4 linked regions of the Saccharomyces cerevisiae S288C genome follow. The protein of the gene in region 1 binds, or shares a complex with, the protein of each later gene. Each region holds a gene or a part of one and is shown on either strand. Other genes may lie near its edges.

Region 1 (3,396 bases):
GGTTTTCCAAAACTTGCTTACCAGCAGGAATGACTTCCTTACCGATACCGTCACCGGGGATAAGACCAATAGTGAGTGATTTGCGAGCAGCGTTAGATGCTAACCCACGGCAGGCAGATAATCTAGTAGCAACAGATCTAAACATCTTTTTGAGTGCGTTACTATCTTAGTTATATAAATATGTCGCACTAATATAATAATCGCATAGATACAGTCTTAGCTAATTCTAAATCAGTTAAGATGTCCTTATATAACTGTAGAACCAGTTTAGTTTCTTGTTGTTCTTTCCTCTAATTAGAGTCATCTTAAGAATATTTTTCCACGGGAAAAAAGTGAAAAAAAAAAAAAAAAAAAAAAAAAAGAGTGGGAATTTTCAGTGCAGTTGAAAAAATCGAGGTGGAATTTGAGAACGACAATTACTTAGCACTACATGTGTTGTTCTCGTTTGTTTTTAATTATATACAGGTTGGTTAGGTGACGTTGGAGAAAAGAGGCAGCCCACCTAGAAGTGGAGGTTCTCGGAAGTGGTGGATTCTTCTTCTTGCGCCGTATTCAATGTAGTGTCGTCCTTCCACGACCCTGCAGGGTTACTTGTCCTTGCTGCCATTAGTTCAGTTTCTTCAACTACCTTCTTTTCCCAGACGTCTAGGACCTCTTGTTCCTTTTGTATACCATGTTCAATGGCAGAAACTCCAAAGAGGGATCCGAACATCTCCGCTTCTTCCAAAGCCACTTGCTGCTCTGTTTCTTCTTGCATTCTCAACGCATAGAATTCATATCTGGCATGGTCATATGCTTCGACCATGTCCCCATACTGCTTCGTTTTGATTAAGTACATAGTTCGCTGGATAACACTTTCACCATCGAGTGGTCTTCCTATCTGAAGCATATGGCTCCAATCGTAGTTTTCATCACCAATTTCGTTTTCCACTAAAATCTTAGGTCTCGACAACTCCCATGGATGTTGTTTGTAAAAGAGCGATCTGAGCCTATCCTCAACGTATGTTAGTTTAGGTGGCCTGTACAGCCTTTTCACGCCCACCCTTTTGTCGCTCGAGTTGGGTCTTGTCTTGTAAAGTCCCTTATTGTTGGCATGCGGTTGTTCTGTTACGTCAACAAGTTTTCCTATGATGTGTCCATTGGAAGGATTCTTAAAACGAGGTTCACGTGTAAACTTGGTTGATGGTGGGATAGACGCTACAACGTTGTACCACGCAGGTGTTTCTTTCAACAATCCTGATTTCAAGTAAGCGGACGTCCGTTGAAGGACGTTTACAGCATTTGTTTGTATCTTCATTTCTCAGAATTCTAAGATCTTCTTCTTGAATGGTGCGCAATGTCCTTCTTCCTTTTCCAAGCTTCTAATGAGGTTATTTTCTTAGACTTTTGTGCAGTATCTAAATATTATTGGTTTTATTGCTTGTAACTTGCACTTTTCTGTAATTGCCGAAGTATCAAAGAAATTTCAACTCTCAAAGAAGATGCGCAAGAATGAAGACCAAATGAAAAATGTCATAAAAAAGCAGTATATTAGCTGTCTTGGGTTAGGGTCCTCGTTCAACAGATTCTTTTTGCTTAATGGTGCAAATGAGATCCAAAAACATGGCATACGAGTCGGGAACTAATAACTATAGTGATACAATAGCTAATGGAAATACCCTGCCGCCGCGAAGCAAGAAGGGACACAGTGGACGTAGAAAGAGGAGCGAAACTTTGCCCATAGCGTGTAATAATTTTTGTGTTACAAGACAGATTGATGACGATGAACAAGCGTTCAAAATGCTAGATAAAGTGAGTCATCTGAAAAAATTCAGTGCTGAAGACGGTGATGATAACAATATATTCGTCCAATGGGCCGATGATATTACAGATATCTTATTTGGACTATGCTGTACAGGAACGTTTTTGAAACTTCTTATAAGCTCTGCATTATCCGGCCGGGCTAAGACATGGTTTGATTCTACAACGGAGGGAATCGATGACCATGTGATAAAGGCTTACAGTTTTGAAAAATTTCTTGCTCTACTATCAGAAGAATTTGATGGAGCAAGATCTTTAAGAAGGGAAATTTTTACGGAACTATTGACGTTGTCCATTGATTCTGAGAAGTCATTAGAAGCATTTGCCCATAAATCGGGACGTCTAACTCCATATTATCTGTCTTCTGGTGCTGCGTTGGATCTATTCCTCACAAAATTGGAGCCACAGTTGCAAAAGCAACTGGAAAATTGTGCATTCCCAATGACTTTGAATTTAGCACTATTGATAACTGCCTGTGAATTTGCGAAGAGAGCATCTAATCATAAAAAATACCGGTATAAAAATACGAGGGATTCCGACATTTGTACTCCAAAGAGTAAGAATACTGCTATCGTTAGCAAATTATCGAATACTAAAACTATAAGTAAGAATAAGGTTATTGAAAAGAGTGATAAGAAAAATTACTTTGATAAGAACAGTCAACACATACCCGATCCTAAACGTCGGAAACAAAATGAACCTGGAATGCGGCTCTTTCTTGTCATGGATGAGGAAAAGAATATTCTTACATCTAGGAATGTTTCTGCCAATGCATACACATCAAAAAATGGACACACCAATTTAAGCGATCTCCATACGAATCTTAAAAACAGTAAATCTCAACAATGTGCAGTGGAGCCAATATCGATTTTGAATAGCGGCAGTTTGGTTACAGGCACAATTAATATTGACCTAATTAATGATGAAGTTTTAGGCACGAAGGAGGAAACTACAACTTATGATGAACGTATGGATGGAAACTCACGTTCTTTGAATGAGAGGTGCTGCGCCGTCAAGAAAAACTCACTACAACCTATAACATCAAATATATTTCAAAAAAACGCTGAAATTCAGGGCACAAAGATCGGGAGCGTTCTAGATAGTGGTATATCGAATAGCTTCTCCTCAACAGAGTATATGTTTCCGCCCACAAGCTCTGCGACAGTTAGTAATCCAGTAAAAAAAAATGAAATCAGCAAGAGTAGCCAGGTTAAAGATATTGCCCAGTTTAATCCGTTCATGACAAACGAAAAGGAGAAAAAGTTAAATCCATCAGAAAGCTTCAAAAGCCCTGGAGTGTCTATGGAAATAAATAGGCTAAGCCGTATCGCGGGCCTCAGAAATATTCCAGGAAACATTTACGAAGACAGCAAAATGCTTAATTTGAAAACTCGAAAGTGCTACCCACTGCATAACTTTGCTGTGCGCACGAGGAGTGCACATTTTAATGACCGTCCTTCTAATTATATATCACCGCATGAAACCATAAATGCGACTCTCCGATCACCTGCAAGCTTTGATAGTATTCAATGTATTACTAGGTCCAAGAGGGTAGACGCAGAGACCAATAAAGCAACTGGTTCAGCAAAAAGCGAA
Region 2 (2,803 bases), on another chromosome or scaffold:
ATAATTGACGGTAAGATCTTATGTGTCCATGGAGGGTTATCTCCCGAGATTAGAATGCTCGATCAAATCAGAGTCTTGTCAAGAGCTCAAGAAGTGCCACACGAGGGTGGGTTCTCGGACCTGCTTTGGTCAGACCCTGACAATGTAGAGGCTTGGCAAGTTTCCCCTCGTGGTGCAGGATGGCTCTTTGGCAGTAAAGTTGCTAGAGAGTTTAACCACGTTAATGGACTGAACCTTATTGCCCGGGCTCACCAACTGGTTATGGAGGGGTTCAAGTACCATTTTCCTGAAAAGGACGTTGTAACCGTGTGGTCCGCGCCAAATTACTGTTATAGATGTGGTAATGTCGCGAGTGTAATGAAGGTCGATGAGGATCTGGAACCTACTTTCAAAATTTTCTCGGCTGTTCCCGATGACTACATAAGAGAATCCACGGCAAACCATAATAATCAAAGAGCCGGCTATTTCTTATAACACGACGGCATGCCCTCCCTAACTCGACGAATAAAAATAATTTTCACAATAAAAAAAAGACTACAAAAATCAGAAACTTTTTCATTACGCCATTTGCTACGATACGATACACAACAAGCACATTCTAAGAGCATTCCATTTACTATGGTCAAAATGACCAAATAAAAAATTAAAAAAAAAAAGAAGGAATGAGAACTAGTAACTACATATTCAACAATTGCAGTTTTCTTTTCCTTTTTGTCCTTGTCCTTTCTTTCCTATTTATATATATATATATATATATATATAATACTACTATGTTATATTACATTATATTATTATCACAATAATTATTACGTTCATCGTGCCGAAACGTCACCTCCCACGGTTTGGATCTATTGAAAGAGGGTGGAATCCCTGATAATAAAAAAACTTTAATCAACACTCGGGAGGGGAAATATAAAAGACTGGCGCTACTTAAAGAGCTGATTCGCCAAGGCAGAAAAGCATAACCATATTAAATCTTCTCCTTCAAAGCTAGCACGCCTTCCAAAATGACCCACAGCTTGAAAGCTCTATTCGCCTTGCTATTTCTTTACACAGCTGCTGTCAATGCGGGTGTGATTGGCATATTCAACGCCCTTCCCCCACCAAACACCAAACCAATTAACGGCGAATCTCCACTTTACCAATGTGACATTCTAGACAAGCAACTTGTGGAAATCAAAGAGGTCAATTTGGACCCTAACCCTCCTGTTCGTGGCGAAAATTTGACTATTTCTGCTAACGGTGAGGTCTTTGAAACTATAGAAGAGGGGGCATATATCGACGTTGAAGTCCGTCTAGGATACATCAGACTGTTATCCCAGACTTTTGATTTGTGTGAAACATTAGAAGATAACGATATCGAAGGCTTATCCTGTCCAATTGAACCGGGTGAATACAACATTAAGAAAATAGTTGAGATCCCAGGCGAGGTTCCACCTGGCAAATATGTTGTTGTAGCAAGAGCTTACACTGAAAAGGATGATCTGATCACTTGCTTAACCGGAGAAGTCATCTTCCCACCAAGGTGATCTGATTCATACAACTCATTGATCCGTGTTTATTTCCCTTCTCGTTCCATGTATTCTTTTCTTTTACCCCATGTTCTCTTCACCCGTTCGAGGCAGGGTTTTTCCTCTTTTTGTTATAACCACCATCTAGTCGAATGTGGTTACTCTTAATATTTTTTTGTCGGCCAATGCTTCAGCGCCTTTGTCAACACCTACTTCTTTTCCATTCCTTTCCTCTAATTAAAAATCATCTATTTAGTGTGTACGTATTAAAAACATGTCATTACATTGATATCTCATTGCAAAATTTCTCCCTTACGCACATCTTTGGTTATTATATATGATGACAGGTTCGTTCTCCGGGTAATGCGGACTTTACATATTAATTCTTTTCCCAGTATTTTAGGCAGAATATAAAAGCTTTGAGGCTTTAAGTGAGACAAAAGTCTTACCATAGCAACACGAGGGCTCGCCGAAACTTCCATCTAAAATAAAGAGTGCCCATTAATGTCCGGAAAACCACCAGTTTATAGATTACCCCCTCTTCCCAGACTAAAAGTGAAGAAACCTATCATTAGGCAAGAAGCGAACAAATGTCTTGTTTTAATGTCAAACTTATTACAATGCTGGTCTTCATATGGTCATATGAGCCCTAAATGTGCTGGCTTAGTAACGGAATTGAAAAGTTGCACTAGTGAAAGTGCCCTCGGCAAAAGAAACAACGTTCAAAAGAGCAATATTAACTATCACGCCGCTAGGCTGTATGATAGGATCAACGGTAAACCCCATGATTAATTTTATATCCAAAAGCAGCAAGAATGAAAACTTGATAATATTAAAGTCATGGCCTTGTATATACAAATTAAATAGTCTCAACGGAAAATATATAAACTTTTAATCTAATAGTAACATCAGCATTTTATTTTCTTTCCTCCGTTAAACCGTACTTAATTCTTGATCCTGCCTGCTCTCTCTAAAGTGTCATCAACCAAATACCAGCCAGGATAGTAATTGTCATGGTATTTGCTGAATCTTTCCTTATCCACCACGGAAATAGGTGACGTGTTTATAGCGGAACTACGTTCGCCTTCTGCGTCCTTGCCAAATGCATGAATGATTTCCCATTCAAAATGCAAGGCTGGATTATTGGAGTCCTTTCTCAAGTGTGGGTTAGGCAATGAGTTGTTAATTCCGCCGATTGATGTGAAACCTTTACCATATAGTCCACAAATTGGCTCATTAGAATACAGTAAGAAACTCCATATATTGGTTAAGTCCCAGTGTAAGAGAGGTTG
Region 3 (2,952 bases), on another chromosome or scaffold:
AGTTGGAGTACTGAGCGAAACTTTCTCAATATGAATTCAGATTCCATATCTGCTACCAAGAATGTTTTTATATTATTTTTTACCATTTTCAGATTAGCGGAGTATATTGTATACAAACTCTCTGACCAGAAGTATCGGTTACACACATCCCTGAATGTCCAACATTTCAGGTGGAATTCGAAGAAGAATACAAACAGAAAAAGGACACTTTCCTTTAGCAAAGCTTACTTACCAAGAACAAATATACTACCGATTTTTGTAGCCGATGGACTAAAAAATAGATTCTCAGGCCCGCTACCTGGTAAGTCCTTGGAAAGCTTCCAGAAACTAAATTTATTGAGCGATAACAATATTAAGCGGTATGCAGTACCAGGAAACAAAGCAGTGAACACACTTTTATGGCAAGAGCAATACTCATAACGGGCCGCAATATTAGTACAAAATTGTTCATCATATAGTTAAAAAATATAATTAAACTTACTTATAAATTCAGTATAACCATTTAATCTACTACTTTTTGCCCCTCTTCTTCACCTATTTTATTTACAAGTACGAAATCTTTTCGGTCCCAAGAACCAGCGTAATTATAGGATTGCCATCATCTTTTTACTTCTTTTCCAAATGTTTTTTAAAATCGGGGCTATCCAATAGTTCCAATACTTTTTGTCCGACAGCACTAGTTTGAGCTTTATCATCGTTTCTCAGAGAATACAATTCATCGATATTGCTTAGTGATTTTTCGAGGCCATTGGCGTCCGAACCCAAGTCCAGCGATATTTCGGACCTTTGAAAGAAGTTACATTTCATTCCGACGCCTGCCATAGAGTGCTTCGTAATGTAAGCTATCAACATCTGTAGCACTTCGGGGTTCGTATCCCAGGCCCTAATGAGCCTCTTATGTGTATGTCTTTCAAAATTCTCTTTGGATTTAGCGTGCACGAAAGGTGATTTTATTACAGTCCACCTTTCTCTTCTCGTGGGCAAAGGTTTAGGACCTGTCAATGGGATACCCAAATAGTAACCTGTTCTAAGTATGAAGTCTGAATAAAAATCGAGGTTTTCATTGTCATACGATCTTAACTGAATGTCTGCAACTAAATCACCATATTTGATAGGTAACTTTAAAGGAGCATAGTAGACTGCCTCTACATTTACAGGATATGGGCGCGTCGACTGTGTTCTGATAAATGATCTTAATGCAATGGTATTTCTAAGCATTGGCCAATGTTTTTCCCCCTTTTCTGATTTTGCACGGTTCGCATAATTCTAATTTGTACCAAATAGTTTCATTTCATGCCCTTTCTTGCATTTTTTCCTTTTCAAAAGAAAATAGATGTACAGGTATTACCCGCCTGGTACATAGTTTGCTAACATTCTTGCCCAATCTCTCTGCTGTTAATAAAGGATGTGTGGATACATGACTAATTTCCGGATTAAACAGTGACGATAAGAAACGGTATGGCAAGAGTCAGAATTTGATAAGACTTCAGTAATATTGATTATCGGTCGAACTAAGCTACCCTCTTGGTTAAATTCTAATGACTACCAGTGTGGTCAATATTTTAGGGTTATCGGTGAACGATAACAAAATCCGTAATTGTTTCCTACGCTGGTTATTACTAAGTAGCCACTCGGTGGCTATCTCTAGCCGTTCATCAATCATGTCAAAAGTACAATCACTGAGCTTATTAAGTCATCCGCACGTGGAACTCACACAAGCCCCGAATTTTGTCAGCCATTCCGTGGAAAATCCTTTATCTCGTCACTCTTGTACGGAAGTTGCACCTTTAGCCCCACTCCCAGATCTTCAATCACAGAGGCAATGAGGGTGGCTGTGCAATGTAAACTTTCTTATCGCTTCCTGTTATGATTGATTACCATGCGCGGTAGAAGGATTGAATGAGGGGTGTGGGTGTGATAATTCATGTACGGACCCTTTCCTCCCAGAAGCTTCTGCACGAAGTGGTTACATTGTGAGTACAGGGTCTTAAACATCGCCGTGCGGCGTCATTTTGCGGGGCTCATCATTTATTTCCTACTTCTATGACGTTTGTTAGGGCAGGGATGTAGATTTTGGTCATATACTTTCACCTGACAGAAGAAAAAACAAGGTCTTAGAGCAGTATTCCCGAATTATTGCCTCTTTCCTTGGTGGGTGCGGGTTAATATTAGATGAACGGTGGGTTGTGGTCAAACCCGGGGTAGGTTTTAAAATGTCATGCGTTTTCGTCATTTACATAGATATATACAGGGAAAATATATATATATATATATATATATATATATACCTAAGGGAAACAATTTGAATAGATAAAAGGTCTTTTCCTCTTATTCCGTTCTTTCTTTTTAGAGTACTATTAATTTCTACTATTTCTCCTATCTTTCTTTTCTCATTAGTAATAGTCTAATCATTTATATTCTAATATTAACTTTAATAAAGCAGATATCTTCATCAAGTGAACTGTTCACACTTAATTCACATTTATTTGAGGCAACAATACGTATATTTACTAATTAAAGAAAAAACTTCGTACACAGAATTGAAAATTTTCGATGGGCGAAGGAACTACTAAGGAAAACAATAATGCAGAATTCAATGCTTATCACACGCTGACTGCAGAAGAAGCCGCTGAATTCATAGGCACAAGTCTAACTGAAGGTTTGACCCAAGATGAGTTCGTCCACAGATTGAAAACAGTGGGTGAGAACACATTGGGTGATGACACTAAAATTGATTACAAGGCAATGGTCCTCCATCAGGTATGTAATGCCATGATCATGGTCCTTCTAATATCCATGATAATCTCGTTTGCCATGCATGATTGGATTACTGGTGGCGTTATTTCTTTTGTTATCGCGGTCAATGTGCTCATTGGCCTAGTTCAAGAATATAAGGCTACCAAGACAATGAACTCTTTGAAAAACTTGAGCTCTCCCAATGCTCATGTTATT
Region 4 (2,440 bases), on another chromosome or scaffold:
TCAAAGAGTGATCCATTGGCTGCAGATTCAAACGATATCGAAAGTGTCCCTTTGTCCAACTTGGAACTTGACTTTGATCTTAATATGACTGATGAACCCAGTGTAAGCCCTTCGTTATTTGATGGATCTACTTCTGTTTCTCGTTCGTCCGCCACGTCTATAACGTCACTAGGTGTAAAGAGGGCTTAATGAGTATTTTATCTGCAATTACGGATACGGTTGGTCTTATGTAGATACATATAAATATATATCTTTTTCTTTCTTTTTCTTAGTCAGGATTGTCGTTTAGCATAATATACATGTAGTTTATTTAATCACATACCACTGATTATCTTTAGAATTTTATAAATTTTTGAAATAAATGGGTGGCTTTTAATGGTGTCTATGTTAAGTGAGGCTTTTAGAATGCTCTTCCTGCTTTGTTTATTATATGTGTATGAAAGATATGTATGTATTTACATGTGTTTGTAGCGTCCCCAGTCAAAACCTGTGCGCTATACCTAAATGGATTGATAATCTTCATTCACTAATTCTAAAATAGACTTCTTCCCCAAAGAACGGTGTAACGATGAGGCTCTATCCAGCTGCTTATCTAAATCAACTTTAACGATGGATGATCTTATGACACGGGGATCTTTCTTTAAAGTTCTTAGAATTTCAGACTGTACCGCAGCTGATGAATCAAACAGCATTAAAAAGTGATATGCTCGAAAATGTTTTTCCTGGTCTTTCTTCATTATTTTAGGAAGATACCTTATGCCCATGGGTACAATGTCCCTCACCACACCTCTGTTTTGAATAATCAGTTTCCCGATTGTGGAAGACAATTCTTTTGCTTCCAACTTTGGCGCATTGGAGTTGGTTATGCGAACAAGTCCGATCAGCTCATAAAGCATCTTAGTGAAAAGGGTGGTTTTGCGTTATTCTTTCCTCTGTTGAAGCTTTTCTATTTTGTTTAAGCTGAACTAGTGGGAGTTTCCATTAAAAGGCTAAAGTCTTGTTGAAACTTTTCCGGGTTAGATGATAACTGCGAAAAGATAGATAAAATCAGCATTAAAGGGACTTCGTCTCCTCCTAATCAGAAATCATCCTTTCGAATTATGCGTATTCAGTTGAAGCGTATTTGTGACCAGTGTACTTCAAGGCTGATTGTTTCACCCTTGGACACAGAACGTTAAACAATGAGTTTGTTTGAGTGGGTATTTGGAAAGAATGTCACTCCGCAAGAGAGGTTAAAAAAAGTATGTTGTTCTGTATTTGGATCAGTTATTTTAGTGAACATACTAACGTTAATTATTTGAGTTTTTAGAATCAAAGGGCTTTAGAAAGGACTCAGAGGGAGCTTGAAAGAGAAAAGAGAAAATTGGAACTACAAGATAAAAAACTTGTATCAGAAATTAAAAAATCGGCAAAGAATGGGCAAGTTGCAGCTGCGAAAGTTCAAGCAAAAGATTTAGTAAGAACCCGGAATTACATCCAAAAATTTGACAACATGAAAGCTCAACTTCAGGCGATATCATTGAGAATACAGGCCGTTCGAAGTAGTGACCAAATGACACGTTCTATGAGCGAGGCCACTGGTCTTTTGGCTGGAATGAACAGAACAATGAATCTACCTCAGTTGCAAAGGATATCGATGGAGTTTGAAAAGCAGAGTGATTTGATGGGTCAACGACAGGAATTCATGGACGAAGCTATTGATAACGTCATGGGTGATGAGGTGGATGAAGACGAAGAAGCTGACGAAATTGTAAATAAAGTTCTTGATGAGATTGGAGTGGATTTGAATTCACAGTTGCAAAGCACGCCTCAAAATCTGGTTTCTAATGCGCCGATCGCAGAAACAGCGATGGGGATTCCTGAACCTATTGGCGCCGGATCAGAATTTCACGGTAATCCTGACGATGACTTGCAAGCTCGGTTGAACACTTTGAAGAAGCAGACTTGAGCGCTCTGAGTATATTTAATGAATAATAGGTCTATACTATAATACATCAACTACTGATATCAAAGTAGGCACTTAGAATCAAAAGGCTTCCGAAAATTTGTTCAGTTTTTCACTTTACTCAATCTCGTCACTAAAGTTTTCTTTTTTTTTCGAATGAATCCTCGAATAAATATGTTCTATATTATATATATACATCTTTTATATATCATTAAATGTACAGTAATCGGTCAAATTACAAATGCTTACGGATGATTTTTTCACTGATTAAGTACTCATAAATAATGGTAGCACATTCTTCAACCGTCTTCTGGTCGGTTCTCAAATGTAGCTCTGGAGCTTTTGGCGCTTCATATGGGGCAGAAATACCTGTAAACTCCTTGATTACACCCTCCCTAGCTTTCTTGTATAAACCCTTAGGGTCCCTTTGCTCAGCGACTTCTAATGGAACATCAACAAATATTTCAATGAACTTCAAACCAGCCTCCTTATGTA

The links.
Region 2: RSM25 (region 1) and MRP10 share a complex: the UniProt entries of both Saccharomyces cerevisiae proteins name them as parts of the mitochondrial small ribosomal subunit.
Region 3: RSM25 (region 1) and RSM10 share a complex: the UniProt entries of both Saccharomyces cerevisiae proteins name them as parts of the mitochondrial small ribosomal subunit.
Region 4: RSM25 (region 1) and MRP17 share a complex: the UniProt entries of both Saccharomyces cerevisiae proteins name them as parts of the mitochondrial small ribosomal subunit.

The regions. Positions count from the first base shown.
Region 1 is NC_001141.2:187,488-190,883, forward strand, and holds RSM25 (mitochondrial 37S ribosomal protein mS23 RSM25), read right to left. Parts: upstream 1,298-3,396; coding exon 503-1,297; downstream 1-502. Other genes in the region: LYS12 (homoisocitrate dehydrogenase), read right to left, coding at 1-145; YIL092W (uncharacterized protein), read left to right, coding at 1,579-3,396. UniProt on the Saccharomyces cerevisiae protein: Component of the mitochondrial ribosome (mitoribosome), a dedicated translation machinery responsible for the synthesis of mitochondrial genome-encoded proteins, including at least some of the essential transmembrane subunits of the mitochondrial respiratory chain.
Region 2 is NC_001136.10:370,233-373,035, forward strand, and holds MRP10 (mitochondrial 37S ribosomal protein mS37 MRP10), read left to right. Parts: upstream 1-2,015; coding exon 2,016-2,303; downstream 2,304-2,803. Other genes in the region: type 2A-related serine/threonine-protein phosphatase SIT4, read left to right, coding at 1-474; NPC2 (sterol transporter), read left to right, coding at 1,008-1,529; FAD1 (FMN adenylyltransferase), read right to left, coding at 2,456-2,803. UniProt on the Saccharomyces cerevisiae protein: Component of the mitochondrial ribosome (mitoribosome), a dedicated translation machinery responsible for the synthesis of mitochondrial genome-encoded proteins, including at least some of the essential transmembrane subunits of the mitochondrial respiratory chain.
Region 3 is NC_001136.10:538,069-541,020, reverse strand, and holds RSM10 (mitochondrial 37S ribosomal protein uS10m RSM10), read right to left. Parts: upstream 1,219-2,952; coding exon 607-1,218; downstream 1-606. Other genes in the region: YDR042C (uncharacterized protein), read left to right, coding at 1-420; Na(+)/Li(+)-exporting P-type ATPase ENA1, read left to right, coding at 2,554-2,952. UniProt on the Saccharomyces cerevisiae protein: Component of the mitochondrial ribosome (mitoribosome), a dedicated translation machinery responsible for the synthesis of mitochondrial genome-encoded proteins, including at least some of the essential transmembrane subunits of the mitochondrial respiratory chain.
Region 4 is NC_001143.9:436,597-439,036, forward strand, and holds MRP17 (mitochondrial 37S ribosomal protein bS6m MRP17), read right to left. Parts: upstream 897-2,440; coding exon 501-896; downstream 1-500. Other genes in the region: AUR1 (inositol phosphorylceramide synthase), read left to right, coding at 1-189; ESCRT-III subunit protein DID4, read left to right, coding at 1,182-1,241, 1,310-1,948; MET14 (adenylyl-sulfate kinase), read right to left, coding at 2,181-2,440. UniProt on the Saccharomyces cerevisiae protein: Component of the mitochondrial ribosome (mitoribosome), a dedicated translation machinery responsible for the synthesis of mitochondrial genome-encoded proteins, including at least some of the essential transmembrane subunits of the mitochondrial respiratory chain.